3 linked regions of the Oreochromis niloticus genome follow. The protein of the gene in region 3 interacts with the protein of the main gene of each other region in a pairwise test. Links are inferred from orthologs where the notes say so. Each region holds a gene or a part of one and is shown on either strand. Other genes may lie near its edges. The genes, in order: rpl35a, atxn2 and sh3gl3a.

Region 1 (10,484 bases), on a different chromosome or scaffold from region 3:
TTATGGGCAAATTCTTCATTCATAAATGTTGATTTCTGAAAACAAAGAGCGTTTTCACTTCTCACAAAGAACTGACAGAAAACAAGCTGTGGATCTGCATGACGTGGTTAATGAACTAAAGCTTTTAGAAAACCCAGTGGTTAAAATTTTATGTCTTAATTTTATCAATTTCTTTAGTTATATTTTATTTTATGTCTTTTATATATTGAAAGACAGGCTGTTCTGCTATTATCTCAAGTTGGAAAAAAGTCTTTGAAAATGCTGCCATTGTTGTACTTGTTACATTAATTAAAAGAAAACAACCATGTGACAGCTGGACCAATCACTCTGAGCACGCTCACTTCAGGTGCTTATATACAGTCCGGTTATATAAGACTTACGCCTGGAGTCGATTCCAAACTTCATCCCAGAGTGTAGCCAAAGGGATCACACACTGTGCTGCACCACCCACACCTGAACACCCCCCCATCATCATCACCGTCGTCCTGACAACCTGACAGTCCAAACTCAGGACATGACACACCCTTTAAAAGACATCCCAGAATGCTTTGCTGCCCCCTGCAGTCAGAGGAAGAGTGAGACACCCCCGTAGATGAAGACTGTGTGTGCGTGTGGGACACAAAGAAGCGGGAGTCTGATCAGATTATTGATCACTTTATTGTTTCTGTACAAACAAAGAGCCGCCCCCATCTCCGCTTCACACCCGGGAAGGATACAGCATCTGCACACAAACAGGAAGTACACTGTCACAATAAAACCACACACAGGAAATGAACGTCAGAATACAACTACCACACAGGAGGAGAAACCACAGAAGAAGCAAGCGGCGAGAAGACCTGAGACGACTTTAGAGCATCGGAGCGGCGAGCGAGTTCGAAGATGTGGCAACAGTGGCACGAATGTGTGTTTCACACAGGAAGTGTGTCACACAGTGAGTGAACACCTGTGACAGGTGAGACCTCCAGCTGTGACTCCAAACGACTCTACGCCATTTCTGCCAAATATTTAGAAAACTGAGCCAATGAAACAAAGGGGCAGGGTTTTAACGACTTGTCTTGGAACCGCGAAACGAGATCATCAAACACGCCAACACTAAACCTCCTGTAACACCGAGCCAGTCTGACATCCCGCCGTGACATCACGCAATGGTTAATTGGAGTTGTCAGATCTGCACTCAGCTGCATTTTTTTCCTCTTTGTACTTTTTTTTCCCTAAATACTGCTCATCTGTACACAGAGCTGCCAACCCCCCCCCCACAGGTCGGCACTGAGTAGGAGCTGCTCTGTATCTCACTCTACATCTGTATAGTGCCAATAAAGACATTCGATTCTCACAGCTGCACACCAATAGAATCAGAATACAAGCAGCCGGGTGGAGCCGGGTGGAGCGGGCTGTCAGCCTGATGAACATGCTCTAATCTGAGTTTATTAATCTGACAGAAATGATGTGCAAACGCTGCTCAGCCTCCTCACATGTTGCTGTGTTAGAGTTTATTCATTTATTCAAATATTGATAAGCTTCCTCAGTGCTGCTGTCTGAAGCCCCGCCCCCTCAGTCTCACGGTCATATTGATTTCATGTTATAAATTAAGAACGTCGCCTGTAAACGATGCCTCCAGCTGTGGCTGGCGCTTCATGGTGAATAAATCAAACTTCAGGACCGAGCATGCTCAGACGGCGCTCTGAGCCGGAGCAGGTCAAAGTTCGCACTTTTGCTCCTGAAGCATGCAGAGAACACAGAAACGCCGCAGCAGCAGAGAGGCGTCTGTGAGGTCGTGACCCCAGCTGTTGAGGTCATGTGACTCACCACTCTGACTCTGTGTCCGATGGCTTTGGCTGGCAGGTTGCTGCTGAACTTTGCTCGCACCATCCCACTGCTTCCGTGCGCCCGGGTCACCTTCCCCCAGATCACACGGGTCTTGTTGGGCTTCCCGCCGGGTGTCACCGTGTTCCTGCGCACACACACACACACACACACACACACACACACACTTAGAAACACGCCAACCTTAACAGTAAATGAAAGATGGCGGTGCGGCAGCTCACTTTTTGGCCTTGTAGACGTAGGCGCAGCGTTTGCCGAGGTAGAAGTCGACTTCGTCCCGGCTGTAGCAGCCCTCAAGCTTTAGCAGCGCCGTGTGCTCGCGCTGGTTCCTCAGGCCGCGCTTGTAGCCCGCAAAGATGGCCTTACTCCACAGTCTGAAAGAGAGACAGCATCAGACATCAAAATCACCACCACCACCTGCTGCCACGCCCCCAAATCTGACCAATGGAAAGAGTTGCTCACGCTCCAGACCGAGCCCGACCGAAGGTTTCACCAACGTCAAAGCATGGTGTTTCTTTTTTGCCCAGACATCAGCTGATGGAGCGCATCCACGCCGCCACGGCTCACACTTCCATCACACGCAGAATCTGCACGCCACAGTCGCCAAACGCAGGAGGCGGGAAATAAATAAATCACAACAACGAAGCTACCCTCCGTATTTCTTTGACATCATCGTTAACCCGCTCAGTTCCTGATTCACGCCAACAGCCCAGAATAAAAGCCCCAATCCAAACTCGGCGTTCCCAGTCCACAGCCTGTAAATAAAAGATGTACACTGCCCATCACAGCAGACCTTAAAACATCTGAAGCCAATCAAACCTGCAGAATGATCAGTAAACAGACTGATCAATCAGCCCAGAAACAGCTGACACGATCAACATCGTCAATAAGCTGGAGTGGGAGGAGCCACGGGTGAACCTGACCCCCAGAGGCCTGTGGCGCTCTGGACTGAGACCAATCAAGATCAATGACATCAAGTATTAATTTATCTGCTGTCAGCATCCAAAAACAACCAATCAGTACTCCAGTTCTCATTGATCAGAGCCAAAGCGTGACCCACTCCACCAGCTGATGTCACTGTGGTTATTTCACCCTGCTCCTCCGATCTGTGAGGCTCGGGGGTCGTGACCCTGCACCTGCTTCACCTGCATGCTCCGCAGATCATCAGCAACGACCTGCTGACAGCGCCCTCAACTGTTTCTATAGCAACCAGGACCCAACTCTAAGGTGTTTACGTGTGAACGAGGAAAACAGATTTAGTCACGCAACATCAAAGGTGTGCGACACGTTACTGTTCACATGAGATGAACTTCTACAGTGACAGAAACAAAACACTGCTGCTGTTACACAGAGTTACTGTCCCTCTGTTTACAACAACGGCAATTATGCTTACTCTTTCCCTCCCAGGCTTCTGATTGGCCAACATTTCAACAATGTTAGGATTACATCGGCACCTGTTGCTTTGGCATGCTCTTGACAGCGTTTCCCTGTTTTTTGCGTTTACACAGGTACTTTTTCAGCCTAAAACGCTCCATCTGTGAACCTCCAACCATGACATCATCACCATCAGCGTCTCTGCAGCGAGGAACAGCAGCTCTGACAGATCACGGCCTGTTTGAATAAAACTTTATTAAACCCATCCCAGAATCACTGCACAGCAGACAGGAAGTCGCTCTGCACTCACGGTTAACTCGCTTCCTGTTAACACCCGTCTGCCCTCACCTGTTTCAGAGCTTCAGCAGGTTACATCACTCACACAGACATACATCATGTGAGCACAGAGTGAAATGATTGGCACTCACCTTCCAGGCATCTTGGTCGTTGTGGTATTCTTCAGGTGACTTCACCTGCACAGAAACAATCACATTAACACCTAAAACCTACTGCAGCATCACATGATCGACCGGCTCATGAGAGCTACGGCGCCGGTAACCAGCATGTTTTCTTGAGCTCTAGACTTTGTACCCGCAGTGTTTTCAGGAGGATACATCACCATGGCAACCAATAATACGACTTTATAGTGCCGGGCCCTGATAACTGTAGGTAGGTTTAGTCAGCTATGACCTTACAAGTGGAACACTGAGCATGCTGTTCTGTGACCTGATGCATTTACTGCTCTTAAAAAACATTTTATGTGGAATCAACATGTGCCACGCTACCAGGTAAAAAGTCACGTGACTTATTCAGAGGCATCTTGGACCACAGGTCAAGTGTCTGAGGTTGTCACAGAAACAGTGCCGTTTGGAATCCGTGTGATTCTGCGGTCAGCCCGTCACTGATCGATAACCGATGGCTCCCTTCATACAGCACCTAACCTAACCTAACATTCGGCTCTTTCCGTCTCATTATTTCACGAGAAACTACGAGAATTGGAGACAGCTCAGGCCGGTGGCTCCTCAGGTTTGACGCGTTTATCGGGGGAGCTCCAGCCCGCTGCGAGCACCGGGGCTCCCACACACGCTTTCCTTACCGCACGTGTGCGGGAGCCGGCACGCGCAGCTCGGAAGCCGCTCGGTTAACCCCGGCCCTGCGCTTCGTTAGCCGAGGCTAGCTTCGTTAGCCGAGGCTAGCTTCGTTAGCCGAGGCTAGCTTCTCTATCCGGAGCGAATCTCCGCCATCAGCAGCTCAAGCGTAGACACAGACTAACCGAGCAGCGCCGGGGCTCCTGCTCCGGCCCCCCGGAGGACTATCAGTTGCCCACCGAGCAGATTAACGGGCATTTTTCAAGAATGTGCCGGCGGACATGTTGACTCGTACCTGCACCGCGTCCGAAGAGAAGGAGAAAAAGGAAGAGCGAAAGGGATGCTGGGAAATTAGTGTAAACAGAGGTGCCCACGGAGCTGCCTGAATAGAAAGGCTCGTTTTATTTATTTTATTTTTAGATTTTAATGTAATCAAAGAAACAATTAAAAACACTTTTACAGAGTTTCATAATACACACGTTAATAATAATAATAATAATAATAAATGTTTATGGCTTCATGTTTTTGTCTTTGTTAATGTAATATTTTTAAAGTTAATTTTCAAAATCCACCGCATGAACGTGCTTTATTGAATATGATAATAATAATAATAATAATAATAATAATAATAATAATAATAATGATGATGTAACCTATTCAGTCACCCTGGCCATAAACTGTTCAGACTACTTCCATCAGGCAGGAGGTTCTGCAGTATCCGGTCCTGAACCAGCAGACTGAGAGACAGCTTTTTCCAACAGGCCATCAGACTGCTGAACACTTCATAGACACCTCACCTTCACTTACCGTAACTTCAACATTATGCACTCCATACTGTACATGAATGCCACTTGTTTTGCACCTCTGTATATTTTATTTTCATTTAATTTTATATATATGTATACACACACACACACACACACACACATATTTAGTATACATATTCAGTAATGTGCATATACATATATTTGTACTCAGATTCCCATTCTTATATTTTGCTTGCTCTTATGTTTCTTGTATTTTGCACACCTCTGTTGCTTGTGAAGCTTCCACACAAGAATTTCATTCGCATGTACTGTACCAGTGTACCTGCACATGTGATGTGACAATAAAAGTGATTTGATTTGAAATGACATTGAATTAAAATACAAATATTTGACTTTATTGTATCAATAAGAGGGCGGACTTGTGACTGTGTGGTGATTGGTCTGAACGGCAGCGTTACCTGTTTACCCAGAACTCCAACGTTGATTACAGTCTGTTTTCTCTGAGCTTCTCCATCAGCTGTCTCACCTGCAGACACCTGAGGTCTGCACTATGAAGTAGGATTGAGTCTTATCCGATGTCACCCCAGGAACAAACACCATTCCCCAGAAACTGCTGATGTCCTTTGGCTGCCCAGCGACAGCGTGAGGTGCTATCACCCCTGTGTGTACGCAGAGCTGCACGGCTCCACTGCCTCAGGAACGCAGAGGCCCTCATCTCCAGCTACGACCTGCTCCATCTGCCGCTATCAGCAGGAGACACCAGAGCAGTGAAACTCAGGCTGAGGCCCGGCTTCCGTCTCATAGCCTCCACAACACTAAATCCCACCCAGCAGATGCTGTTGTGTGCAATATGTTTTTGTTGTTTAACTAATGCTTTACTTTATGTGTATATGTTGACCTTTTTATATCCTTTACTGTTTTGCTCTTCCTTTCCTTTTCATACTTTGTTTTGTTCAGTAGTGCAGGGGGCGGAGCCTGATGTCATTGTTACAATCAAAGCACACTTTGGGGTTCCACTCATGTCATCATCTAAGATGGTCATGATGATGATGATGATGGCAGACTGTGCAGCTCCCCCCGCTCCCATCTCCACACACACACACAAGCTAATAACTGATGGGATGTCTGTTTGTTACCTGCTGCCATAACAACAAGATGATGTCATTATATATTCTTATTGTTTTCAGTGATGTATATTTTTCTTCTTACTGCTCCTATGTTGTCTTGTAAAAGCTGCTTCTTTCCCTGGCTCTTGCATCTTCAATATAATGATGAATAAACACTCATTAATGAGGAAACCATAAAGTCACTCTTTCATCACAAGAGCGTTTGGAACAGCTAAAATCATCAGCTCTGTTTCACACCTCGACATTGAAAGATGATCCATGGAGCTGGCAGTCAGGTCACCACCAGAGGGCGCTGTGAGCTGGAACAGCCTCACATTAAAGCAGAGCTCTGCTTCGTCTCACAGTGAAGCAGGTGAGTGAGGCTCAGGTTACACGCCTGCCCACTGACACGTGAAGTCTGATCAACACCTCACTCCTTAAACAGATGACCTTCATCATCAACATCATCTTCATCAGGGCTGGGCCATCGCTCCTTACCAGCTGACCAGCATCTGAACCTTTCAATGACCCAGTGAGCTGATGATGGTGCCCTCTCTGTTCTCACCTGTCATTAATCTCTCTCTTCCACAGCATGTCTTTATCCTGTCTTCCTTCCCTCACCCCAACCGGTCGCAGCAGATGGCCCCGCCCCTCCCTGAGCCTGGTTCTGCCGGAGGTTTCTTCCTTTCCACTGCTGCCAAAGTGCTTGAAGTTTTAGGATTAAAGCTGAATTTAAATAAATGTGAAATTCAGAGTCAAGGATTTGGGAGGTGTGATTACTGTGTCTGATAAGGAATGATATGACACCGTTTAAAGCAACATGTTACCTGGGGCTTCAGAGCTTCCTGTGAGGACACTGCTGCACGTACTGTAATAAACCATGCTGTTTAATAACACCCTCACTCCAGGACACTGCAGCATCAATGGGAGCACACACTGCGTGTCATTAAAGAATGTAAAGTCAGACTGTTCTTCATAAACAGCCCTGATGTGACACGTCGTAGCTCGTCCAATGGAGTCATGAATACTTTCAGTCATGAATCGGTGTTATATTATATTAGATGGCACTTCCTGTCCCAGCGCCCTGACCCGGGAACAGACTTGCAGACGTGACGTTCATCTGTGACAAATATTTCTACTTTATTCACAGAAACACAAAAAACCACCAAGGAGAGAAAAACAGAAAACATAGGAAACATTTACAGTATGAACACAATCAGCTGATGGCGTTCTCGTTTTTTGGCCACATGTTTTTCACCACTTCCTGTGTGTGGTGTTGACACAATAAAAGCATCAAAGCCATATTATAATATTTATTTTATGACTGAAACAGCAAAAACACACGAGTGGAAAAACAGCCGCCCATCTGACAGCCCGTTACGTGACCCGCTGCTGCCACAAGACGAGCGCCTGAAGAAGAAAACATTTGTACATCATCACCTGTCTGAAACCTCTAAGCCGCCTCACCTGTCCCATCAGGTTCACTCAGGTCTCAGGTGAGTCCACTGAAGATGAGCTGATTGGTGGAGGTGGTTCAGGGGGCGGGGCCCAGCCTGCTTGTCATAATTCAGGTTGTTCAAGTTGTGCTCTCATGCTGAGACTTCAGCAAGTGTTTAGTGTAGTGTCAGCATGCTGATGTCCTACGCCACCTGAACACAGCACCAGCCCCTTTTACTCATCTTTACAGTTTAAATTAAAAACACAGTCTTCTCCTCCGGTCAGTGAAGCAGCAGCAGCTCAGATACGTGACATCACTGTACACAGAGGCCATGCCCACTGTAGGACGGCAGGCTCACTGTGCTGCAGTTCCTCTAATGTCCAGCAGAGGCAGCAGTGAGTCAGCCCCACACACGTTTACAGCCTGATACACAAACTGTCCGGCCCGTTCATGACACCTGTTTGCATTATTAGGGGCGTGGCTTCTGACTGAAAGGTGGATGGTGACACAGGCGGCTACAGCTGCTAGCAGTCTGCTTCACCTGAACTGCACCTCCTGACTGTGTTTGTGCAGTTGGAGCCTTTTGGAGCTCCAGTTGGAGTGAGACGCTAAGCAGGTATCGCTTTGATCACTGTTGTCAGGACAAACTTTTATAAATAAAATTACAGTACAGCAGCGGTTTGCTTACTTCACTGACAGGAGAAGAACCCCCCCCCATGGTTGCCATGGCAACACGAACATCTCTGTTGTCATAGTAACACCCAGGTTTCGGCCTCATATACAGAGCATCATCAGTACGTTTCTATTTACAGGATATAATTGTACACAACAGTCGGGCCACCTTTACAAGGTGAAAAACGTCCCAGCATGCAACAGAAACCACCCGATCACCCTCATCTGTACATGTGACAAAGGTCCGATCAGGTGATCACAAAGCCAGGTCACATGATTGACCTAAACCACAGTGACATTAGTAAAAACTATACAGAGACGACATCCTGCCATTCAGAGTTCAGGGTTCAGACATCCTCCTCTTCATCAGCGGCAAGATGAAAGTGTTCACCATAATAAGGAAAGATGGAGACGAACAGAGCCGAACCGAACCACACTTTGCCCTCGCTGCTTCTTTTGGGCTATTATTAACTGTGAGCAAGTAGCTCACAGGTGGATGAGTGGCAGAAGAGTGGCCCCGCCCCCTAAAGCAAAACTAAAAGCATAAAAAAAAAATAAATAAAACTAAAACTAAATAAACTTTAAAAAAAACAAAAACAAAAAGGAAAAATAAATAATTACTTTGACAATATCAGTACTGGGCATGCTCAAACCCAATACTGTAACATTAGCATTTAGCAATCATGCTATAAACTAAGCCATCGTCGACTGTTTTCAGATTAGAAACAAGCTGTTACCTTCACCTGACTTCATCTTAGCTACCCTCTGTGGTTAGCTCGACATAAGAGTACCATTAGTGTTAGCTTTCTTTACCAGTTAGCCGTGTTAAAATAGTTTCGGAACACTTTTGAAATGTCAGTATCTTTCAAGCTAACTGTGTCAGATATAATATTAAGTAATGTAATCTAACAGTTCATAAAGTTAGTCTTATTATAGTCTTACGCAGAGTTAGCAGAGAGCCTATTCAATTTTAGATTACTGCTTACTCGTTAGCTTAGGCCACTTCCTAGCTGTAGTTCATGTTAACTCTGAACTCATCACGATACTTTTATAGCTACCTATTTCAAGCTAGTCTCCCAGCTAGCAGCTAGTTAACAGACTGCTACGCCTCACTCCCTGCAAACATGACTAGCATGATCGGCGTGATTGAACACATTTATTCTGTTTTAATAGTGTTAGCCTTAACAGTCAGTTACATTTTCAGACTGAAGCAAATCCAGAATCGTCACGGTTAGCAACGGGTAATCTGGGAATAGTTTTATTTCTATTATCATTTTAAAGTAAGCACACTCATCTTAGCCAGGTCACAGATAGCCATTAACTGTAGCTTACAATAAGTTTATCTTTGCCAATATTAACTTTAAGCTATATTAGCCACAAGATACATTAGTGTCATTTAAACAACAAAACAAAACTGCTGTTAGCTTCCATTAGCCCTTAGTAGCATTGCAACTTTATCTCAGTGTGAGACAGGACAGTTTCAGGTTTTATTGATCAATCAGCTGTTACTGAGAACATTAAATACTTATCTTTTTTTTTTTTTTTTAATTAAAGTGCTTTTCCCTTTCTCACTTCCTGTTTCTATGGCAAATGTTCATGTTAAACAGGAAATTCAGTGTGTCTGCAGCTACTGGGAATTATGAGTTTTTTTCTATTCCTTAATCTGTGTGATGTCACAGAGAGAAGCTCCACCCATCTACTGTTCAAGTCTTCTGCTTGTGAGATGCAGCCAATCAGAATAAAGCACGTTTAAAGGTGGAGGAGCTGAACCGGCTTGTGTGAGACAGCGGCTGAGCTGAGGCTCAGGATGACACGACTCACGCTAAGCCGCTCTGTGAGAGCCAACGTTGGAATGAGCAGAACGATCCACCTAACAGAGTTTTATAGTTTTGAGTCTTCTGTGTTTAACACGGGCTCAATAATTACGCATATTAGTTTCTAAGCTCCGCCCACACAGGTGACCGACTGCATGTAAAACCAACGTCACACAGATGTTAAACTGCACGGATTCACAAGAGAACCTGACAGGTAGAATAAACCACCTCCCCCTTTGCCTCTGGGTTATTTTTCTTTGTTCTTACATCAGATGATCATCTTACCCGCTTTACCTCAGACCCAGGGGTCAAAGGTCAAAGGTGGTAAGCTTTTATTTTTTCGGCTTGTCACACGTGGAGGATTTTCTTTGGACCGCTGCTCAAACACAAGCAGATGTGGC
Region 2 (11,189 bases), on a different chromosome or scaffold from region 3:
ATGAACAGTGTGACAAACTCACCCAGTTAACACTGTACATCATCCATAAGTTTTCAATATGCGCAAGATAACATCTCCAGTTTCAATAACTAAAAAAATACAAATATGACCACACTACCTTTCCTTGCGAAATTTAGGTCCACATCTTTGAAGTTCACAACTACGACATCAGAAGCCTTGAAAATGATGCTCTCTACAATATCTTCTTTCCTGGGCCCTGTGCTCGGTTCTGTACTCTTTCGGTGGGCTGCATCCAACACCAGGTCACACTGAGGGAGAAAAATATAATTTGAAACACAGAAAAATAAAAAAATAAAAAAACACTATCTGCAAAAGACACAAGAAACTATGGACACAGGAGACTGGGACAATGAACTCTTTCATGCTCATCATACTCCACAAGTAGCTAGAGAAACAAAACAGCTATAAACAATCTCAAGAACAACCCTAAAACTAAAACATATTGAGAAATCTCAAGTGATCTGTTTTAAGCATCACAAGAAAGATTTGTGGTGTATGGTTATGAATTAAAGATCTGGAAAATTGTAGCGGGCTTACTTTAACTATTAGTCAAATAAATCACATAAAAGAGGATCTTATCAATTAAACTACTTGGTGTAATCTTGGCATCAGCATACTAGCTTAGATCTGAATTAGAGGAAAACCTCAAATTTACTTATGATTATTATTTTTAGGAAATAATTCAACCTAAAAGGGAAGGTAAAGGCTCACATATCAGAAAAAGCAATGCAGGTCTAAACCACCTTAGGGGTGAAACTACTAACAAGTGCTAGCAAGACTCCATCACATTTAAGCCTAATCATATTCAGCTAGTGAGAAAGTAACAGATTTCCCTCCATACTGGCACAATAAAGAATACCACATTATGCATGAGCCTTACCTCTGGGCCGTAGGTCTTAAATACTCCCTCATAGATGGCTCCATTTTTCACTTTAAGCTCACACTTGGTCCCCTACAATTAAAGAGGCTTGTCGTTATATACGGTATGTGCCGTTCAGTACAAATTTTAATTTACATGTTAAAAAATATAAGTTCAGAAACCCATTTTTCTGCAAGGCAAACCAGTGATTGATCAATCACTGGTTTCCTTTTATGCAACCAGCTGTCTCTACAAACAGGCTTTGTTTAGTGCTGTGTAAACAATTTGAAGAAACAGCATGTGGTAAAACAGACTGCAGTAAATACTGTTCTTACTAATTCACTTAGAGTAAGCATGATTCACATGGCTGCTTCATCCAAGGAATTTTACAACTATGCATATTCTTATAATCATTACACACAGAAAAAAAAGGAACAAGGTAGGCACACAGTAAACGTACCACCACTGAAGTCAAGACATGGACCATCCTCATATTTGCATATACACCATTGAAAATGACCTAAAGAAAAGATACAATTAATTTTGATGCTCCCATTTTGAGCACAAAAAAGATGCCAAATAATGTCTCATCACTGTGGAATACCAATAAACTTGTTCCATTCTTAATGCAATTAAAAAGGCATATGCGATATCTGGATTTATGCTTTCTCTGGCGTTAAAATGCTTTAAAAACAGGAAACTATTTTCAAAAACTTGACAAGGAAAGAAGAAAAAGAAGTGTTAAAGCATTGTGAGGGTTTTTCCTGCATAAGAAAAATTCTGGTGCCCACCAATGACATTATGCCTTCCTCAAGAGGAAAAACACCATCACTATGTTCAAAAATCTGTATTTTTTTTTTTTTTTTTTTTTTTTAAGTGTGTTTTAAAATACTCAAGCTTGAAGGTATTTTTGTTTCTCAAATGTATATGAGAGATAATAGGTTACTTACTGCTGCTGGACCTTTGCCACTGTGTCTCCCCCTGAGGGACAGAAAAAAATAAAAATCGCATTTTGATTAAATTGTTGTCAAACTCACCATCAACTGTAAAAAATAAAATAAATAAAGACTTCACTTAGCACATGCTCTGATATGTGCAACTCACTAAGAGAAATCATAAGAGGCAGTGATTAAGATGATACAGAACTGCACTTGAAGTTGATCAACACAAGCTATATAATTTGCTTTAACCTTAACCTCATTTCTACAATATACTTTCAAAGCATACTGCACGTATCTGCATACTACAATCACTTGTAGCAAACTACAGAGAACCAGGTTTAAGAATACATGAGGGTCTTATAATGATGCTTACTGAGATGATGACTGAAGAGCACATGTGAAATGTTTGCAGCTGCAGACATGAAAATGAAATCACTTTGGTTTTATCAAATATAAGATTTATTACCATCACTATCGATTCCAGCTGTGGAGACATCACCACAACCATCAACACAGCCATCTTACTTGATCAATGTGCAATGTAAATTCTGAAATTTCCCCAGTGTCTCCACAACATTATGCTTATAATAATGATGTTTGTGATGCAATCGAGCCAAACACTCAGCAGCTAACAGTTTTCCCAGGCATGTCCTAAAATGCACCTTGTTCAGCAGCTGGCACATAACCAACCATTCAACGTAAGCAATGGCCACTAACCCCTATATTATATCCGTTGCAGTAAATCAGCCCTAAGCTTTCTAAAACACACTTTGCCATGCCATTTTGAGCTGTAATGTGCAGGTTTTGTGAGCATGGTTATAAACTGGTCCAATATTCATTTATAGCATCTTCACGATGAATCCTACGCAATGAATGGGGCGTGCTGTCCTAGTGACCGGTGAACAGCAGCCTGACCACCAAAAATCACAGCATGCATGCTGTTCATGCACTGACAGTGTGCTTTATCTTCATCTTGGGACAACGTGTACAGAGAAAGTCATGCCTCAAGGACACTATTTCTCACGAACAGCAATGGCAACGTCAAGGTTGAAAGCCAGTCGGTCTGTAATTCCCCCTTCTCCTCCTCCACCTCACCCCCGTTTCCACACCCGCCCCTTTCTTCTGAGCGCCCACACGCTTTATATCCATTTCCTGGCAACCCCGTTGCAGCAATGTTGCGGTAACGTACAAAGCTACATGGCAGCCAAAACACAACAAATGCAGTTGCGTGTCCCCCATTAGCCAACTGTTACAAAACTGAAATGCAAGCATAGGCTGTCAATTGGCTAATTAACGCTAGCTGACTTGGCTTCAAGCTTAGAGTAAACTGATATCAGCAACTTGGCAAGCAGCGTCACTAGTACTACACACATATGAGGAAAGATAAATGTCCACCCGAACATGTATTTATGCAAAATCAACCTCGTGGTGGCATGTTTGATTTAACGTGCCAGAGCAGGTAATGTCACGTCGAAAGTTGCAACAGCACTGGACCAAACAGACAGGCAGGCCTCGCTAGCTGAACTGCACAACTGGCTGACCAACACGTCGCAAGGCCCGCACAACGTTCACAAACACGCACTAGTTTTGGACCACTTAACGGCAATGTCATCTCTTACAACCGCTACCGTTTGGCAGTGACTATGGCCAAATATCGAAAACGTGTTAAACCAACCCTCCTTGCTGTGTTTTTGCTTCGCTATGTTAATGTTTAATTTCACATACCTGCCCAGATTCGGTCTTCCCCCGCCGCTTCCTCCGGCACCGGAGGCGGCGGCTGCACCAGCGGTGCTACCACCGCCGGGCTTGCTGCGATTTCCACCGGCCTTCATTGACATGGTGATCCCATAAAAGACAGCGTCTTTAACAGACCAGTTTCACGCCGCAATTTCTTGACGCTGAGACGGTGTGCGGTTGTGCGGTACCTCACTAACGTTGGGCAATCCGAAGACCTAGCTTAGCCAGCAGGCTAAAGTCAACGTGCCTGTTCAGGAGGATGCTTTGCTAAGCAGCTAGCCTGGCTAACAGTTGCTAGCTAAATTAGCGACCCGTACAATTCCTATTAAAACTGAAAAAAATAATATTTTAAAAAGACAACACGCTCTAGTAACTTTTCAGAAATGAACATGTGTGTTACACCTCTTGTCAATTTGTTATATAATTATTATCTCAAAATCGGGTTTGCAGCTATCTCGGATTCTTTCCGTTGCTAACAGCGAAAAGACCAAAACAGCCTGAAAGGGGGACAAAAACAGCGGAGGGATATGAGAGGCGTGACGGCTCGCAACACTTCACTCTATATTTTTATACGCTGTGTTATTTGAAAACTATTAATCTTGTAAACAGATGAACAAGACCATTTTTAACGTAAAAACCCAATGCAGACATTTGTGTTAAAAGCGACACAGTTACATCATGGCACTATTTTCAGGAAGTCCATGAATTTTCAATTACTATGTAGTGTCATCCACGTGAGCCGGCGAACGCACTACTAACATACACACAAACACACACACACGGCGGGTGTGGGCATAGTGATGGCTAGCATCCACTGCAGCATGAAGGTTTCCAATTAGCAGGATTGGAGGGTCACTTTGAGATAGTCCCATTTTTCGTTAATAACTGGTGTAACTTCCACAATCTTGATATGACAAGGCAGCTGTACAAAGAGGATTTCAGTCTAGTAAACTAAACTAAAACAAAGTAGGGATAAAAAAAAGTTTCATCAAATAAAAAACAAAGTAAAATAAAATAAATAGACCTAGAAAACTAACTAGTAGGGCTAAGGGGCGTGTCTAGGAGAGGGGCATTGGGTGGCACCAATCCCCCTAAGATCTGACCCCCCTTTCCAAAGTTGTTTTCTTGTACTTTATATAATTTTTTCATGCTTTGCTGCTTATTATGTTATGTTTACTCCAATATATATTGAATGTAATTAGTTGTAATACACTATACTATTTCTATTAGTTACTTTATTAATTTATTATTGTTTTTCTAATAAATTCTGTTATTTTATATAAAGTTACTGATAATATAAAGTGATTTATCTATAATAATGTGATTTAAACCTCAAAAAATAAATACTAATGATTCAATAATGTCACCTAATGTCAAAAATAATGATTTTTGAAACACGCCATTCCAAAAAAATGAGAGTCCTTTAACTTTGTGTACTTATATATTTTAATTATACACCCTGTGCACTATTAAGGTAGTTAAGCAAAGTTAGAATTGTTACTTACGTAACAAGTCTAAATACTTTTTCCCACTTTGCAAAACATTTATGCAGTGCATGATTGTGCTTAAATTCTTTTGCAGCATCCCTTTATACAAAACAAATCTGCAATAGGAACCAGGGCTGCACATGAGCCTGAAAATTGTGTTTTCTTGCCCATTTCTATACCTTTTAAATTTTATTTTATTTCATTTTCCCACAATGTCAAATATGGTAGAGACAATGTTGTTGCATGGGCAGGTATGGGCTGCCAGTGGAACTGAGAAATAGAAAGAGAAATAGTGCAAGACTGACTGGAATGTAAATGGATAATGACCCAAAGCCTACTGCAAAGGCAACCTAAAAGTTTCTCACAGCAATAAATGTGATATTCTTCAGTGGCCAAGTTGGTCACCTGATTTCAATCTAACAGAGCATGCTTTTCACTTACTCAAGGGCAGAGCGACACAAACAAGGAGCAACTGGAGGTGGCTGCAGTAAAAACCTAACTGAGCAACTTAAGTGTGGAAACAGGATTTGGTGATGTCCATGGGTTTTAAACTTCAGGCAGTCATTGCAAGGGATTTTCATTCGAGTATCTGTTTTCTTCCTTATTCAATTTAGGATCATGCTGCACTTATTTTGATAGTCATAATTCAGCATTTTTTAATTTTCTTCTAATTTTTTGAATGTTGCTTTTGATCTTCCTGGGTTTTTTCCATCTGTCTTTCTTTTTCAGTAGAAAGAGAGACTAATTTCTGATCAAATGAAAAATGAATATAATGTTATAATATTATAAATAACATTGGGAAAAAAGACTTTCATAACATGTGGATGTTGTGTCTGAAGTTTATTTCCAATATTTTTTTAAATAAATAATATTAATTGTCATTGTCCTGTTTTTCATTTAAAATTTCCACTGTCAAATCTTAAATATATTATTGAGAAAAGTTCAAAGGTTTGACCTGTTGGTCTAACATAATGAGTCACTGCATGAAGAAATACCAGGACTTTCTTTTCTATAATAATCAAAAGATATTACTTCATAATTTATATGGAACTGAAACATATGTAAAGACCAACAATAAGAGATAAACATAGTCCTTTAAGTAGGTATTGATGGATACATTTGCCACTTTAATGTTGTAGCATGTGGATTAAATGAGATTCATAAATATTTATGTCATGTAAATTATTAAAATGGTATTAATATTGAAGCTGTTGTTGAAGATGTTATCCTGAACAAAGTGTATGCCTATCAAGTGCTATTTAGTGCTATTTTTCTGTTGTCTTCCTCTTTTGGATTTATTATGGTTGGCAAACATCTTTCAGCTGCACTACCACTATCTGAGCTGGACTGTGGCCCAAAGGTCTGCCATCTAACCATTCTCAAAAAAGAAAAAAGTGAGAGAGGGAGAAAATGCTTTATGCTTTTCAACCATAAAGAAAGAATTGCAATGACCTGACCTTTCCTTAATCTTGTCATAACACTTTAGTCTTTCCCATTTTGTCCTCCACAATGTACCCCCAACTGATGGTTTAGTTAAAAATAGTAAATACATAAAAACCCCACCCCAAAGTCTTGCTGTGATTACTTTGTTCCATTTATTTTTCTTCATCTACCCGACACAGCAAAGAACCCACAGACAAACACATTTGGTGAATTGTAAATAGAATGATTCAGTGCTGTGCAATACTCTGATGCTGTTAGTACTTGCTCTGGGATGGATTCTCTGGTATGATGTTTCTTATCTTGACTGGACAAGTTATAATCTTACAAGATAACTTGTGCACACTAAATAAAAGCCCATAAGTGCCTAACACCATCAAATGCATGTGATGGTGATAACTCCACTTATCAAGTTTTATTTTCACCTTGGGTGGTCATAAAATAAAATTCCTTCTTCTCTTGCACATAACTTGAGCACTAACTAAAGGACTGTATAGTAGTATAGGTGGTGTAGCAAGAAATTTCCACCTATTTACGTGCTTGAGCAGCATAGATTTCACTGTATGACATTCTGAGGTGCGAAGAAAACATAATTAGCTGGGTTTTCTGACACTGTTACTGACATATAGACCTGTAGTAAATTATAATGTGCACATGCATTAACATTTAGATATAATCATGTGTCCACAAGGTAAATAACATGTACATAAAGTAAATATAAAAAACATTTAGCATTCGATAAATAGCTTTTTGTTTACAGAAGATAAGCTGTTCATACAAACTTGCCACTCACGCATAGTTACATACCACTTTATGGATAGTCCTGGGCACTAGAACACTACATAGTTGAACAGTTTTTCTCAATAATTTGCTTGTGGTTAATTTACATTTGCATTTGCAGAGTGATTCAAGTAGAACAAAAACTGTTCGGACAGTTTGTTTAGCTTTTCTTGAAGATTCAATGTGGTACAAAAGTACCACATTGAATCTTTCAGAAAAACAAACCCACCTCTCGTTTCTTTATATTTTACTTCCAAAGCCAGACTTTCTTAGCATTTTTAAAGTGGTCGAGAGCAATAGTTATCCAGGCTCTCTTATTCTTCCCACTAAGTATTTTTTCACTTAACACCGACCAATGTGATGTGTCGACACATAACAGCCATCTTAGCAAAGAACCAATTTTAAATTGTACCTTTGGGGACTTTGTTATTAGCAGCCTTTCACAAAAATGCAAAATTTGCCCCCATTTCTTTTGTTGAATCTATGAAAAATGCCAAAGAAGGTGATTACCAAAGACAGATACGCTGAAAATGTGGCAACTCTCAGTATAGTGTGCATACTGAGGAAACTGGACAGGGGAAGGACAAAAGAAAAAGCAACGGGCTTAAAGAACTGTTTGCATCTGATGAACAGTATCTGAAAATCATGTCCTTGAGAAATATGGGGGGAAATGCAGCAAAGATCTGACACAGACCACCTGAGATTTATCTGGTCCTTAAGAGATGCATTTGGTCTGCTGAGCCCTCACCAGAGGGCCTGTCAGTTAAAGGGTGCCTGTCAAGAAGAAAAACAGGGAGAAAAGACTGATGTATATCAAATTACACAAGAACTAGATGGAAACCAGGTGGCAACAGGTCTGATGGAATGATTAGTCTAAATTTGACATTTTTGGTTCAAATTGTCACGAATATGTACAGAGGAGGTCAGGAGAAAGGTACAACAGTGAATATCTACAGCCACCTGTAAAACACGCTGGAAGCTCTGTTATGGTTTGAGACTGCATTTCAGCCAGTGGTGTTTGGGATCTTCTGGAAATTGATGGAATTATCAGTCCAGTACCATTAGCATGACAATGATCCCAAACACATTTCCAATTCAGTAAAAGCATTGATGGATCCTCCACCTGAGGGGATAGTTTTTTTTTTGGAAGGTAGGTGTCTTACAAATGACCTTAATTAATTAATTTTAGCACATTCTGATATGAATTAAAGTGTGATGGTTGATATTTTGTTTGTTTGTTTTTTTCTGGCATTTAACTTTTTAAATATAATATAATTTCCTATAATGTGTAGATTTTTAAGTTGAGCTTAACTATATTTCCGCCAGGGGTAGTTCTGCTGTAGTTCAACTTCTTCCACTGTTAAGTAATTGGTAGTTTACAATGCTGCTTATGGGACTTGAGTCCGCATTGAAAACTAGGTCCTTATAAGGACCCATTACAGTGTATCCAGTTCAAACGTATTCGATTGTAAAAAATAATTTGTTGTTTCAAAAATACAAAATACAAATACATGTATTATACGCCGAAAATTACGTAGTGTGTGATAGATTAAAACGTGTAGCCTCACATATTGTCCAAATTTAGAAATGTTGTCAATAATTTTGATCAGGCGTTCTGTTCGGACAGGCGTTGTGCGTATTGCTCTGGCAAGACCCCTATGGGATTAGCAAAACAGTCCAGAGATGCGGATATCTTTTGGCCACCGCTGAATGCAGTCTCCGATAGCTCCTGTCATCTGCTATGTATTGTTGCTGTTCCATACGAGTTCTTATAGTTATCACAGTCTGCTGAGAATTTTAACATCCCTAGCTTTGACTGGAGCAGGAAAACCGACGCGACTCAGTTAGCTCGTTAGCTAGCGTGTCAGAAGGCTCGACGACATAATAGATTGTCCTGCTGCTGAGAACGCGGTGTGCTCTTCTTGTCAGATCAACCCAGGTGTCACCTAGTGTACTATCACTAATTTTCAGAGAGTATCTTCGTTCCGCCGTATTGTTCACTGTTGTCTTTGTTATGTAATCGGCTGCTTTCACCGTGAAATGTAGCAGCATACAGCAGCTTGGCCAGTCTTCAGTGTCTCCGCAGCGTTAGCAGAGCACTGCGCTCACTGCGCTGGCTAAAAATACCACTATAAGGTCCCCCTGCTCGCTGCGCCTCCAAAAGTGCTGGACTTGTCCCTGTTGGACTTCTCTTTTCTGGTCACCTTGCTCGCAGTTTGCCCCTCTACATGGTCACTACAGTGAATTTGAGACGACTGGAAGAGCGAGTCGGACCCCGAGGTTGTGAGCCGAGCTGGTCTGATCTAACGTTAAATCGTACCAGCTGCTGGGCTTCAGTTTTCCAAGGGAACGGCACTCGGCTTTGGTTGATCTGTAGCCGAGTATCATTTTGCCCCGATGGCCTTTTCCTGTTATAACTAGAAGTATAGAAAGCCTTGGTGCAGCCCGGGGTACTTTATAAAGGTCAGACAAGACACAAACACTTCGTTTCCACTGTGTTCAGTCTGAGTTTGGGGAGGCAGACTTCATCTGTCCGGAGCACAAAACCATGTCGGAGGATAACAACGCAGACAAATTCATCAAGGTAACCTAAAATGACACTTCTTCTGCTTGGTTACTGGTCCACACAGGTGATGGAAATATTGTTATCTTTTTAAAGCTGTTGCTCAATGCATGCTACATGAAGAGGGCAGTTTGATCTTATTTCATGAGACAGTCATAAACTCATATTTATTGACAGCAGATGAGTTTTATGTGTGATATGCATGGCAGAAATGTAGAACATGTTTAAAAAAACATAATATTCATTTCTTTGCAGTTTAGACCTATTTAACAATGGTCATGATCATTAACCAGCCATATTTCCCTGCAAACTGGATCTGGGGGTTGATCCTGGCTGGCTCCCCTCAGTGTGTCATTGCCCTGGCATCTATGTCAACAGTAAAATGTGATCTGGAGTTGTCCTGGCCCCTGTTTTCATGGTTGGGCAAGAGGTACTCTAGAACTCGAGCACACGTTCGCTGAGTAGCTTTCGGCTTAACCCTGACTCTGTTTTATCAATTTCCTGGCACATTAAACCAAATGCTGGGAAATAATCTTGCACGTTTCCTTGCTCCAGAAAAAATAAAATGTATTAAAGCGTTACAAATCTGCATAGTTTTTGATCACTCTTCCTTCAAGTTGCGTGATTAAAGAACCCTGGACTCCCTCTTAAAGCGATGAGATCTGTTGACTTTGTTACGTTGTGGGGGTTTGCTGACATCATTTGGGTCCCCTTAGAATGAAAAGTCACTGCAAATCAATAGAGTTGTTCTGTTGACTCCATTTATCTCTTAGTGAAACTAAATGGAGTGGTGTTTTTCCAGAATGACAGTGCTTCTGTCTTTTGGTTCAGTGAGTCACCAGTGACTCACTAAACCTCACATTCATCAAACATAGGGTTTGTTGAGTGTGAACATTATGTGAATCATATGCTATGGCTTTCACAGTCAGCAAGTCTAGTACCAGTTAAACCGCTATGGGAGATTTCGGCCGAATACGCCACCTCGACCAAATAAGAGGATATCTTTTTTTGGATTACTTTAATAGTGTCTTGACATGAAATAGCACTTTCCTGGTTGTCAAGCTGTAGTAAAACATTGTCAAGTGTTGCAACAGTTATATTTTATTCAGCCAATTTTCACATATTCCAGAAAATTATGTTATAATGAAAAGGGACTGATGCCAAAAATTTCTGACCTCAAGTTTGGGGGTTTGTCAAAGAGAACTTGATTTGTTTTATTTTGATTTTTTTTAGTTGATTACTTAACTTGTCTGGGGTTGGTCTTTAAATAATTTATATTGGCACCAGTAGTAGCAGCATGATTTTCCAGGTGCATTTGTGTTATAGCAGCCAAGCTGTCTTTTTTATAATTATAATCTGTG
Region 3 (10,809 bases):
ACCGGCCCTCGAGGCCTGGAGTTCACCACCCCTGCCTTCATGTATTTTCTTGAACTCTTTCCCCCTTAAAGACGACCTTCCCAGTACCCATATGACACCTCGGTATATATCAATAAAGTCTTGGTTTCATGACCATTTGATCACGCTGACCAGTTTCTGTGTTTTTCTGAGGGCGGCTGCACTGGCAGGTAGCACCCTCACTGACGTCTGATGCAAACTCAGTCGATTTGTTCTGTAAACAGCCTGAAAAATGACAGAAACCCCTCAGTTCAGAAAAGAGCTTCAAAGGGAACTCCCACTCCCCCATCAAGGAGTAAAGGGGTACATATTCGAGTTTGGTAAAGATAAAAATGCGATTGGAGAATGTGGTGTTTTTCCTGTGTGGTGTTTTCACAGCTCCAAACACCAGAGCTCCTTTTTAAAAGCTGAAAGTGAGAGCTGTATCAGCCAGCTGTTTGTTATTCACACTCCACATCTGCAGACACTTACAGAGACAGACACAACGCCACCTCCTCAATCGATGTTCGAAGGGCTGCAGCACCTAAGATTAACACTTCATCGTCTACGCAAACCTGCAGAGACAATCTTAAACATTCAAATTAAAATCAAGGATAAAACTATAATCTCTCTATATAATCTGTAACTGGTATGACCTGTACAAACGAGAGAACACACCCAGTTCATATAAACTGGGTTCATAACCGTGTGCTCACACCACAGATAACCCCCTCACTGTCTTTTGTACGTCTCACTAACAGCTCCCCCCCCGCCCCCACTCCCCGCCTGCCCACCCACCTCACCAATCTGAGTCTGAGTAACCCCCATCACTCACACACGGACTCCTTTCAGACCAAGTCTTCTCTAATGTGGGCCTTTCTCTTATTTTGTACATATTGCTGTCTACTGTTTATATTTTGTTCCGGCACAGTTGGTGTGGAGCACCCACATTTTGTTGCACATGTACAATGACAATAAAGGGCTATTCTGATCTATTCTATTCTGATCTATCCTATTTATATAAATATAAAGTAATTTTTTTTTAAAGCAATATTGAACACAGGCGGTCACTGATGAATAAAAGGTTCGATTGTGCTCTTTATTATGGATTTATTTTTCTCTTATTCATGCGCACAGTCACACAGGGCTGCAGCCTTTAGCTGACTAATTATCGCGTTATGTGGCTAAAGATAATAATAACACAGGTCCAGGCCTGTAACGGCTCATTGTCACTGTGAGTGTTTAACTGCCGGGAAAGAGAAGAAATCAGCACTGACTGAAACAAAGCCAGGCCTCAAAGAGAGGCTGAGCAGAGCTGCTCACAGCTCTCCACGAAGGTGGAAACCAAAGACGGAAATATTACCTCAAACCAGCACTTTTTTCTCATGGCCAGCAGGGGGCGACTCCTCTGGTTATAAAAGAAATCTGATTACAGTCTATGAGAAGACGAGCCTGCTGCTCACGTGATCTCTGAGCTCATTACACACCCTGCTGATGAGTTTACAGTCTTACTAAGGCTACGTTCACACTGCAGGTCTTAATGCTCAATTCCGATTTTTTGAGCAAATCCGATTTTTTTGTCTGCTTGTTCACACTACACATAAAATGCGACATCAAACGCGCTCTAGTGTGAACGCTCAAAGCGGCCCGCATGCGCAAAAGAAGACGTCACACACAACTCGCTCTGTTTAGACCCAGAGCAAACAATATTGTTTGACTGATTGCCCTTAATATAAAGACTTCAGACTTTATGTTTCCAAATTTTTGCTTTAAGTTATTTTGTTATTTACATAATAATGTAAATAACCTAATAATGATCCTTTTTGCTGTTTTAGAGGAGCGGTGCTTCAAAGGATAGTTGCAGATTTCTGTCAGAATCTGCAGAAAATACAGTAAAAATAAAATGTTCACATTTCTCCAACGTGGTCTTCCCAACAGTTTCACCGGATGGCAAGAAATCGTTCGCGATGTCCTATCGGGCGCTTCTCCGGCGCTGATAATTGGCGTCTGTCTTGTGTCAGTGACGTAAAAGACGGATTTAATGCGACATGACAGTTCACACAGCAGTCGCTTTCTAAAACATCGGATATGTATCGGATTCAGTACCACATACGAAAGTGACCCAGATCGGATTTGAAAATATCGGATTTGTGCCGTTCACACTGTCATACCAAGATCGGATATGGGTCGCATAGGGGCGAAAAAATCGGATTTGATGCGCTTTCGCCTGCAGTGTGAACGTAGCCTAAATGAAACACGAGGTTCATTTTGGAAACGACGGATCTACTAGACGCACAAAGGAGCATAAAGAAGACTAACACACCAAGCTCTTAACGTTTTAGTTTAGGTTCATCTGCAAGTCTGTACTATGAAGCGACTTTGACAGGATCCAGGATATCTTCCCCTTCATCATCGATCAGGCTAAGTGGTCACACGAGGTGGTTATCAGGTCCATAAGTCCATAAGTGAGGGTTTCCCAATCTGCTGCGTGCAGTTTATTTGAAGCAGGAAGTAGAAGCAGAAAAAGTGACGACTGTGTGAGTAAACAGAGTTTTGATATAAAGTCCACAAATACAAACAGGCGTGGCATCAGATAGCAGTGCTTACAGGGCTGTAAAAAATAGAATCAGCTATAAAGTTGTGACTCAGAGTCTTTATCTTACTGATGCTCCGTACTCTCTGAGGCCTGATGGAACTTTCAGGAATTCTGACGCTATCTTCCAGACATCTTATTGGTCAGTCAGTGGTGACTTCATACCTATCGAGCGCTCATCTCAAACATAAGTGCATCGGAGCAGGTTGGGTCTGCAGCATCAGTTACCGTGGCGATTTATCCCAGTTAGACGTTTACCACATTCACAAACAGGGTTAAACCTGAAGTTGCCTCAATAACCGCAGCAAAAACCTCTGCACTGACTGTTAGCTCAGCGGGCTAATGCAATCCGCGGGATACCCTCTGTGTCTTCCTGCTCTCACGACGCATTGTGATGACATAACACACAATAAAAATAGACTAAAACCAACACACAAGTCCCACTTCCTACGACAAATCAAATCAGTTCATTTCTACTGCCCCACTGAGCCTGAGACCAGATCTGAAACACGTTTAACCAAAAAACAAGCTGGAAACTATTCAGGGGACATGATTAAAAACAGTTTACACCATTCACATAAAAACACAACGGTAAGCTGGACGGAAACTGTAAAGGCAAATCAGAGAACAGCAGAGATAACATTCTCAAGGTTACAACAAGAAAGAAGTGGTTTAAAATGTATATAAACGTCTTAAAAGGAAGACGCTCGCTTTGATGACAGATCTCCACCACGGGGTGATACCTGCAGCTCCACAACGCGCTGTGCCCCGACCTCTGTTAAAACTTCGATACTCAGTGACTCATTCGGGGTCGTACTGAATAAAACAGACTTCTTTGAGTTTGTGAAGATGTTTCAGTTCTCATCCAAGAAGCTTCTTCAGTTCTAAAAACAAAGGTGGAGAGTCCCAGCTATTTAACCCCTGGGTGGGGTTGTCCCCTTTGGAGGTGGTTGTTAAAGAACTCTTAAAACAGTCCAGTCACCACCTTTTTTCAAGTTCTTCAGACTACCATGAGAAGCTACGCGGACATACTGAATCAAACATTCAGAACATTTCCCAAATCCTGGTCCTTCTCGGCTTTCACAGTCAGAATCCTTCTTTTTAACATCATTTTTAAAAACAACAAGATGGCAATCGTAGCTACATCTATCTTCTATACCATCAGGTTTTGATTTAGTTTCATTTGAAGGAGTTTATTAGGGGCTTCTGCTTGGTTTAAAGTGCAGATATATCAGAGTATCATCAGCATAAAAGTGATTTAAATATGAACACAAGGAACAGCTGCTAACGTGACAAAGGGCCCACAATGGAGCCCTGTGGTACGCCACAAGCACAGTCACCAATACTGATGGAAATCAATATTTCTCGCATGCTCTGCTGCATCAAACGCAACAGAGAGATCAAATCATGCAAGCTCAGCTGATTAAACCAGCATCACCAGTACATATCATGCTATCAAAAGTATTCAAAAGTACAGATTCAGTGCTGTTTAGCAAATCCCGCTGAGACTGATGGAAGCTTGTATCTATGTATGATGGAAACCAGCCTGTGATCTACTGATAACTGGAGCAAATTCTTATTTATAGATGAAGATGAAGGTTCACTGAGACTAACAGTCTGTGAGCTGTTTCCATGTTATTCAAATGTTAGACATTACTCACAGCCGCCCACAAACCACAGTGTATTTTGGTGGCAGTGGGAATAGCAGGTCCTTCCACTGGCTCAATGTATTTTTATCATGTAACGTTAAAAGGTATTTGAGTCTGATGGAGCTTCACCCAGATAACACAAACCGTACAGCCCGGGAGTGAAATGCACCTGATAAAGACTGCTCCACCTGCCTTTAAATGACTGTGTGGCGCAGGTGTGACAGGTGTGAAACATCTGGCTGGTGCCTCAGTTCCCACAAACATCGCCATGATGCCTTAAACACGGGCTTCATGTGTGATTTCCTTTCAGGGGATAAAATCAAACCAGACCTCGACCTAAAGCCTCTCAAAACATTCATAATAAATACAGTTACGTGTACTTCTCTGTTAGTGTTTCCTGTTGGTTTTACAGTGGAAACAGCAAAGTCTGATGTTTCACAAGACCGTGTCAAACTTATAAGGCAACAATAATGAAGACGAATTACTCAGCGGATTACATAAGTTGATAAAAAGTCCATAACTGTGGCTTAAGATGAATAGATTTGTGCGTGTGTGTGAAATTAAATTAAATCACCAGATTTTCCCAGCAGGGTTTGGTGTGACGTTATCTCCGATAAAAAACAACTTATCTGGGTGGAAAAGTAACGCTCCATCCACACCCTGCAAACACGTTTTGAAGCCCTCGATTTTTAAGCGATAACAACTCAGACTCGTCGTGTTTTCAGACCAACTACAGCCTGATTCCGTTCACGGTTTGATGTTAAAGCGGAGATCAGGGTCCACATCCGAACTGTTGTTGTCGGGCGCCTCCATACCTGACTGGCTTTGTGGAACTGCTTCTTCAGCCCGGCCACAGACATCCTGGACGAACGGCTTCAACCCCGCACAAAATACTCCGGTAAAACGACTCAACACACGGCCGACGGAGGCTGGGCTCAAGAACGAAGCAGCCGACACCACAGCTCCGCACTCATCAGTCAGCTCCGTTAAGATTGCAGCATGACCCGAGCTCAGTGAAGCTCCAACGGCGTGAGGCCGGCCCAACCGGGAACTCCTTCAAAATAAAGGTCTCCGAGGATTTAAAAAGCTAAATGATAATAAATGCATGACATCACTGAGCAGCAGGGCTGGACTTGGACATTAAAAAAAAATGTATTTGAGGGGGAGAATATGATGTGTGCATGTGTATTTTTCATTTTGTTTGATTCCTGATATTGAAATTGTTTCTCGGTTGGTACAGTTGTTGCTGGGTTACTTCTTTGTTGCACACTGAAGCTGTTAGGAGTGGCTCCTGATCAAAGTGGTCGTGCATTTTACGTGAATCCTTGATTATTCCAAGATTCTTTATTTGCCACTTGTCATAAAAGTACAACACACAGTGAAATGTGTCCTGACTGTGCAAAACATTATAAATAAATAATTTATTTGGCTTTTATTTATATCTTATGTAATTTTATTATACGATTCCAATGTACAGCACTTTGTGTCAGCTGTGGTTGTTTTAAAGTGCTTTATAAATAAAGGTGATGATGATGATGATGATGATGAATAAGTAAATCCAAATTAAAAATCCGAAATTTTAAATCAAAAAAACTGAAAGTGTACATTGTGCAAATGGAATGTTAAAGTGCTTTGTGCCACATTAGCAGAGCAATGTACTAAATCAGATATGATATGAAATATGACAGTGAAAGTTCTGCAGTGTAACAAGAATATGATATGAAGACCCTTATGGTGATGCTATGAGGGGAGTGGGGGCATGTTCTGGTTCAGGACTCGGATGGCCTGGTCTTGAGGCTCTCTGTTTTTGCCCTGATGGTGTGGAACCTTCCGCCTGATTGCAAAAACAGTTTGTTGCTGGGATGGGACGAGTCCTTTAATATCCGAGCTGCTCTGGACCAACATCTCCTGGTGTACATGTCCTGAGGGGAAGGGAGATCCTGTTATTGATCCCTTTACCTTAGTCTTAAAGTGTATATTTATTTCTTACTCTTCTTATATTTAGTGCTTGTCTTTTGCACTGAATGTAACTGGAGCCTCTTCATCCCTTCTCTCTATATACTGTACTGTATATAGCAGAGATGACAATAAAGTTTACTTTGACTTCGACTTGAGAGCAGACCTGCAGCAGAGCTCTGCCGCACAGATCACTCTGTGAAGAGCTTTTCGGTCCTGAACACAGCTAATCCCATACCAGGATGTGATGTTCTGTGTGAGGATGCTCTCCACAGCACCTGAATAGAAAGGATCACTTAGTCCCTCTATGTTCTGAACACATTATTTTCACTTTTCTCTGCCTCTTCCTCACTCTGCTGTTGTCCCTCCTCCTGCACGTCTTCTCGGCTGGTGCTAAATTTGACACATTTTGTTGACACATTTTGACCTTTTCACCACTTCCTCCAAGCTAAACTCTCTTTTACAAGTTGCATGAGGGGAGGAGTTAAGGGATTTGATTGGGCAGTGTCGGTAATGTAAATAAGCGAATGGATGCTGTCAGCATGTGTAGGGTCGGTGGGTAAATGACCGGGAAAATGCCCGACATGCCAGATTACCAGTCCAGCCTGTTTCTGTTGGAAAAAATAGGTTTAAAAACGTATTTTATATGCATATATGTGGTTCTCTGAAGTTCCACATTTCTGTAAACGAAAAAGTAGCTCTTAGCAGTAGCATATTAGGACTATAAATAGATCTATAACAATACATTTTAAAGAAGAAAATGAAGGTTCTGGACGAAGGAGAATAAAAATAAAAGAAATAAACTCAAGGTTATCACGTCATACATCTATTGAAAAAAAAAAAAATTCACAAAAACGGTGGTTAGCACTGTTGCCGCACAGCAAGAAGGTCCTGAGTTCAATTCCACCATCAGGCCGGGGTCTTTCTGTGTGGAGTTTGCATGTTCTCCCCGTGTTTGCGTGGGTTCCCTCCGGGTACTCCGGCTTCCTCCCACCGTCCAAAGACGTGCAGCTTGTGGGGATAGGTTAATTGGATAATTCAAATTGCCACTAGGTGTGAATGGTTGTCTGTCCCTGTGTGTTGGCCCTGCGACAGACTGGCGACCTGTCCAGGGTGTACCCCGCCTCTCGCCCTATGACAGCTGGGATAGGCTCCAACGCCCCCCGCGACCCTGAAAAGGATAAGCGGAAGCGAATGGATGGATGGATATTTAATAATGAGTGTGAAATGTTTTGTCACACTCACACTGAGGCGGGGGTGTGGGTATTATTTTGGAAAGAAGGAACCGGAAGTTGCGTTCACGTACTCTCGCTTTATTTTCCGGGAGAGAGGGTTTCCTGACTCTCAGAGATGTCGCCACTTCTCAAAGACCATTGGGTGAGAGCGGGGAGAACTGATGATGTCACCCTGTTCGTAAACAGGATGAAGCGTTCATATACTCGATATATTTATTTATTCAGTCCCACGCACGTGTCTGTGGCTCACACGTCATCGTAAATCATGTAAATAAGCGTCTTTGCTCCGTTCAGTTGCGCCTCCTGAGGTTCCCACGCGGATCCCTGTTCTCCATCAGCGGCTCTTTCTCAGCACAAACTGTATTTCCTGTGTGGAATTTGAGTGTCTCACCTGAACATGAATCACGCTCTGCGTGTTCACACAGCTTATAGATCTGAGGCAGCGACGCGTTTCACTTTCAGTTCAACATTTCAATCAGTGCACGCTCTGCTCCTTTTTTAATTGTAGGAAAGTCCGTGAAACAGAAACGGACGTGACTACAAATACATAACGCCTCTGAAGTTATTTAAATAACTGCACGTGGAGCCAGATGTTAGGAGTTTTGTCCAAATATGAAATATTAAAAGAGTCCGTGCAAACTCTGAGGCTCCTACAGACGTCTGAACAGCGCCACCTGCTGCTAAGGAGAGGAACGATCGTCAGCCTGCCCTCTGCTTTGTTTATCAGCTGGAAGTTTAGATTACAGTAACACGTGGATATAAAGTACTTTGAAATGTGAAAAGTTAAATTTAAAGACAGTTTATTGTATGTTTCAGTGCCAGATTTTACATTGTCATGTTATTAATGACATTATTCTGAAAACTGTGGAAAAGAGAAGCAAATCCCGCCAATTCCACGTGCTTTATCCATGTTTGGGGCAAATGAAGTGCAGCAAAACTATGAGTGGAAACGTGGCTGTGTGTAAAGAACAGTCACGCGTAATGGACAAACAGAAGAAACTGAATAACAAAATGACGCCAGTATCTGTAATATTATTAATGTGCAGTGAAGTTGCCTGCTTTATTTACGTTGTCTCACTTCCTTTCCTCATCAGTGATTGGCTCTTGTGTTCTTTTGTCTCCTGCTTATCTCCTGACAGAAATCCTTTTAGAAAGACTTCAGTTACTTGTTGCCTTACAGTGAGTATTGTAGTCCTGTTAGCTGTACTGTTACTGCACGTGTTTGTGTTTCTAGTGTATTTTAGGTGGTCTGTGAGTTATGAAGGAAAATACAATAATTAAAGCCCATTTGAACCTATTCACAGTTTACAGACAGTTATAATGAAACTGAAATCTTTACAGGTAAGACCACCAGAGCACACGCAGCAGGAGACGAGAGAACAGCACCCAGACAGTTACTACATAAACTCAAACTCTCCTGGTCTTTGTCACTTTAAGTTCATCAGAAAGTCACAGCGAGCGTCAGAGCGGAAAAATGATTTTTGTGAGAAATCCCCCCGATTTACTCCGACACCTATGCCTCAGTTGATCATGTGAATACTGCTCGTCACCGCAGTGCTCACACGCCACACCTGCAGAGAGACGAAACCCTTCAATACCCCGAGGAGATTTTCCTTCTTCATCCCAAAGAATCAAATCCTTAGCAAAGGATTTATGGAAAAACCCTGAATGCAGAATCCTGGTTGTACACAACAGGAGTGCAATCCCACACAGCAGCACCCGATCAGCATCATGGAGCAGTACAGTGAGAGTCACGTTATACACTACTGTCATATTCATTCAGAACTAACAGTATTTATAAATAGATGCTGGGGCTGGAGATGTGCATAATTATTATGGTTTATGTTTTATACTGGCACACTTTTGCACTCGCAACTGACCAGACTGATGGGACTGTTAATGTTCAGCTTCCATTTATAGTGTTGTATTCATGATTTCAGGTGCACTGTGTAAACAGTGTGATGGTTTCTAATGTCTGTGTGGAGCTTTACTTACCACCATCGCGAGATTCAGTGTTCATGTAAAAACTGATGTCATGTGTGGAACATATGAATGCCCATGGTTTATATGCACGAGTGCCCCACACAATGCACAACTGAACAAAACCAGAGCTGCTGCATTCATGTGTCCCACACACTGATAAAAACTGCATAAAACTATTGAACCATGCAGTACCTGCGACACAGGCTGCACAGCGTAGTGGGACATGCGTGACAACTATAAGAAATGAGAGCTCACAAAGTCTGAAGGGATCATCTGAGTTTATTAAAATACATTTTTACTTTAGCTTACTGTATTATGTCCACCAGTACATGAGCATACTGCAGTACTGTTTGGTCTGTTTGTGTTGTTATTAATGTTATTGCTAAAGCATATGTTTGACTCGTATACAAGCCGGGAAGCTCGCCTCTCTAAGCTGACTTTACTTACATGCAGTGAGCTAAATACTGTGAAAAACGATCCTACTTAATCAATAATTTTAAAGATTAATATGGATAATGTTGTGCTGCTGTGTGAGTAGCTCTAAATTTTTATATGCAATATTTTCACAGTACTGTAAGTGGACTGGTTCCAGGGGAAAACTGTCCTGGTGGACGCGTAGCAGAGCAGTCACATCCCTGAACGTAAAAATCTGAGATTATTCTGGGAAATAAATGAATGTTGAAACTTTCATCTCACCGTCGAAGCCTTCAGGTTTCTGCAGAGATACTTTGAAACTTAGATTTCTGCATCTGGTCAGTATTCTGCAGTCGTTTCTATCTCCATCCTGTGTTCCAGTGCACGATGTCACATCCCAAACTGGGGTCTTCATCGCTGTCAGAGAACATCTGGGTGGTGTCGACACTGAAGTTCACCACTGGAAGCTGTGGAGGCAAAAATGGTAAACTTTTGTTACAAAATAAAATAAAATACATGGATTATGTTACTTTAACAAGTGGAAGTTAAAATGATCCTGATATGAACATTGATTTTAGGAAACGCACTCTCTTTTCCTGTATTCAGTGTTATAAATATTTTGGAACAGTTATTGATTCAAAGTTTAATTTTAAAGCAAAGCGTGACGCTGTGTGTAGGAAGCCGCAGCGCTGCTGCTCGAGAAGCCTCTCTCGTTTCCACGTTGATTTGATCATCCTTCATCCGTTTGATCTTTTCCTTTGGTGTTTGGATATTTATCTGAAAAAACTCAGTCAATCAGCTGATTGGTGAAGCACAGCACACGGTTACAGCGGTTGGCTGGTTTAATTTTCCTGGATGACTCATGCGCTGCACAGCGAGTTTCAGTTTCGTCCTTCTGGAGGTTTCTGCTCCCAAAATGTAAAACAACAAGCTTTAAAAATAGCAGCAGCTGTTACTCAGATGAACATATTATAGTTTTGTA

The links.
Region 1: the proteins of sh3gl3a (region 3) and rpl35a interact in a two-hybrid assay, tested with the Homo sapiens proteins (2 studies listed by BioGRID and IntAct). The link is inferred for Oreochromis niloticus from reciprocal best matches to the Homo sapiens genes SH3GL3 and RPL35A.
Region 2: the proteins of sh3gl3a (region 3) and atxn2 interact in binary tests that used the Homo sapiens proteins (3 or more experiments, as listed by UniProt). The link is inferred for Oreochromis niloticus from reciprocal best matches to the Homo sapiens genes SH3GL3 and ATXN2.

What each region holds. Positions count from the first base shown.
Region 1 is NC_031979.2:39,855,108-39,865,591, reverse strand, and holds rpl35a (large ribosomal subunit protein eL33), read right to left. Parts: upstream 4,678-10,484; 5' UTR 4,582-4,677; intron 3,672-4,581; 5' UTR 3,638-3,671; coding exon 3,627-3,637; intron 2,199-3,626; coding exon 2,046-2,198; intron 1,952-2,045; coding exon 1,807-1,951; intron 722-1,806; coding exon 698-721; 3' UTR 639-697; downstream 1-638.
Region 2 is NC_031977.2:24,313,849-24,325,037, reverse strand, and holds the start of atxn2 (ataxin-2), read right to left. Parts: upstream 4,303-11,189; 5' UTR 3,660-4,302; coding exon 3,547-3,659; intron 1,862-3,546; coding exon 1,831-1,861; intron 1,401-1,830; coding exon 1,341-1,400; intron 974-1,340; coding exon 902-973; intron 270-901; coding exon 119-269; intron 1-118. Other genes in the region: mapkapk5 (MAP kinase-activated protein kinase 5), read left to right, coding at 9,814-9,849. UniProt on the Homo sapiens protein: Involved in EGFR trafficking, acting as negative regulator of endocytic EGFR internalization at the plasma membrane.
Region 3 is NC_031965.2:38,965,737-38,976,545, forward strand, and holds the start of sh3gl3a (endophilin-A3a), read right to left. Parts: upstream 5,279-10,809; 5' UTR 5,100-5,278; coding exon 5,055-5,099; intron 1-5,054. UniProt on the Homo sapiens protein: Implicated in endocytosis. May recruit other proteins to membranes with high curvature.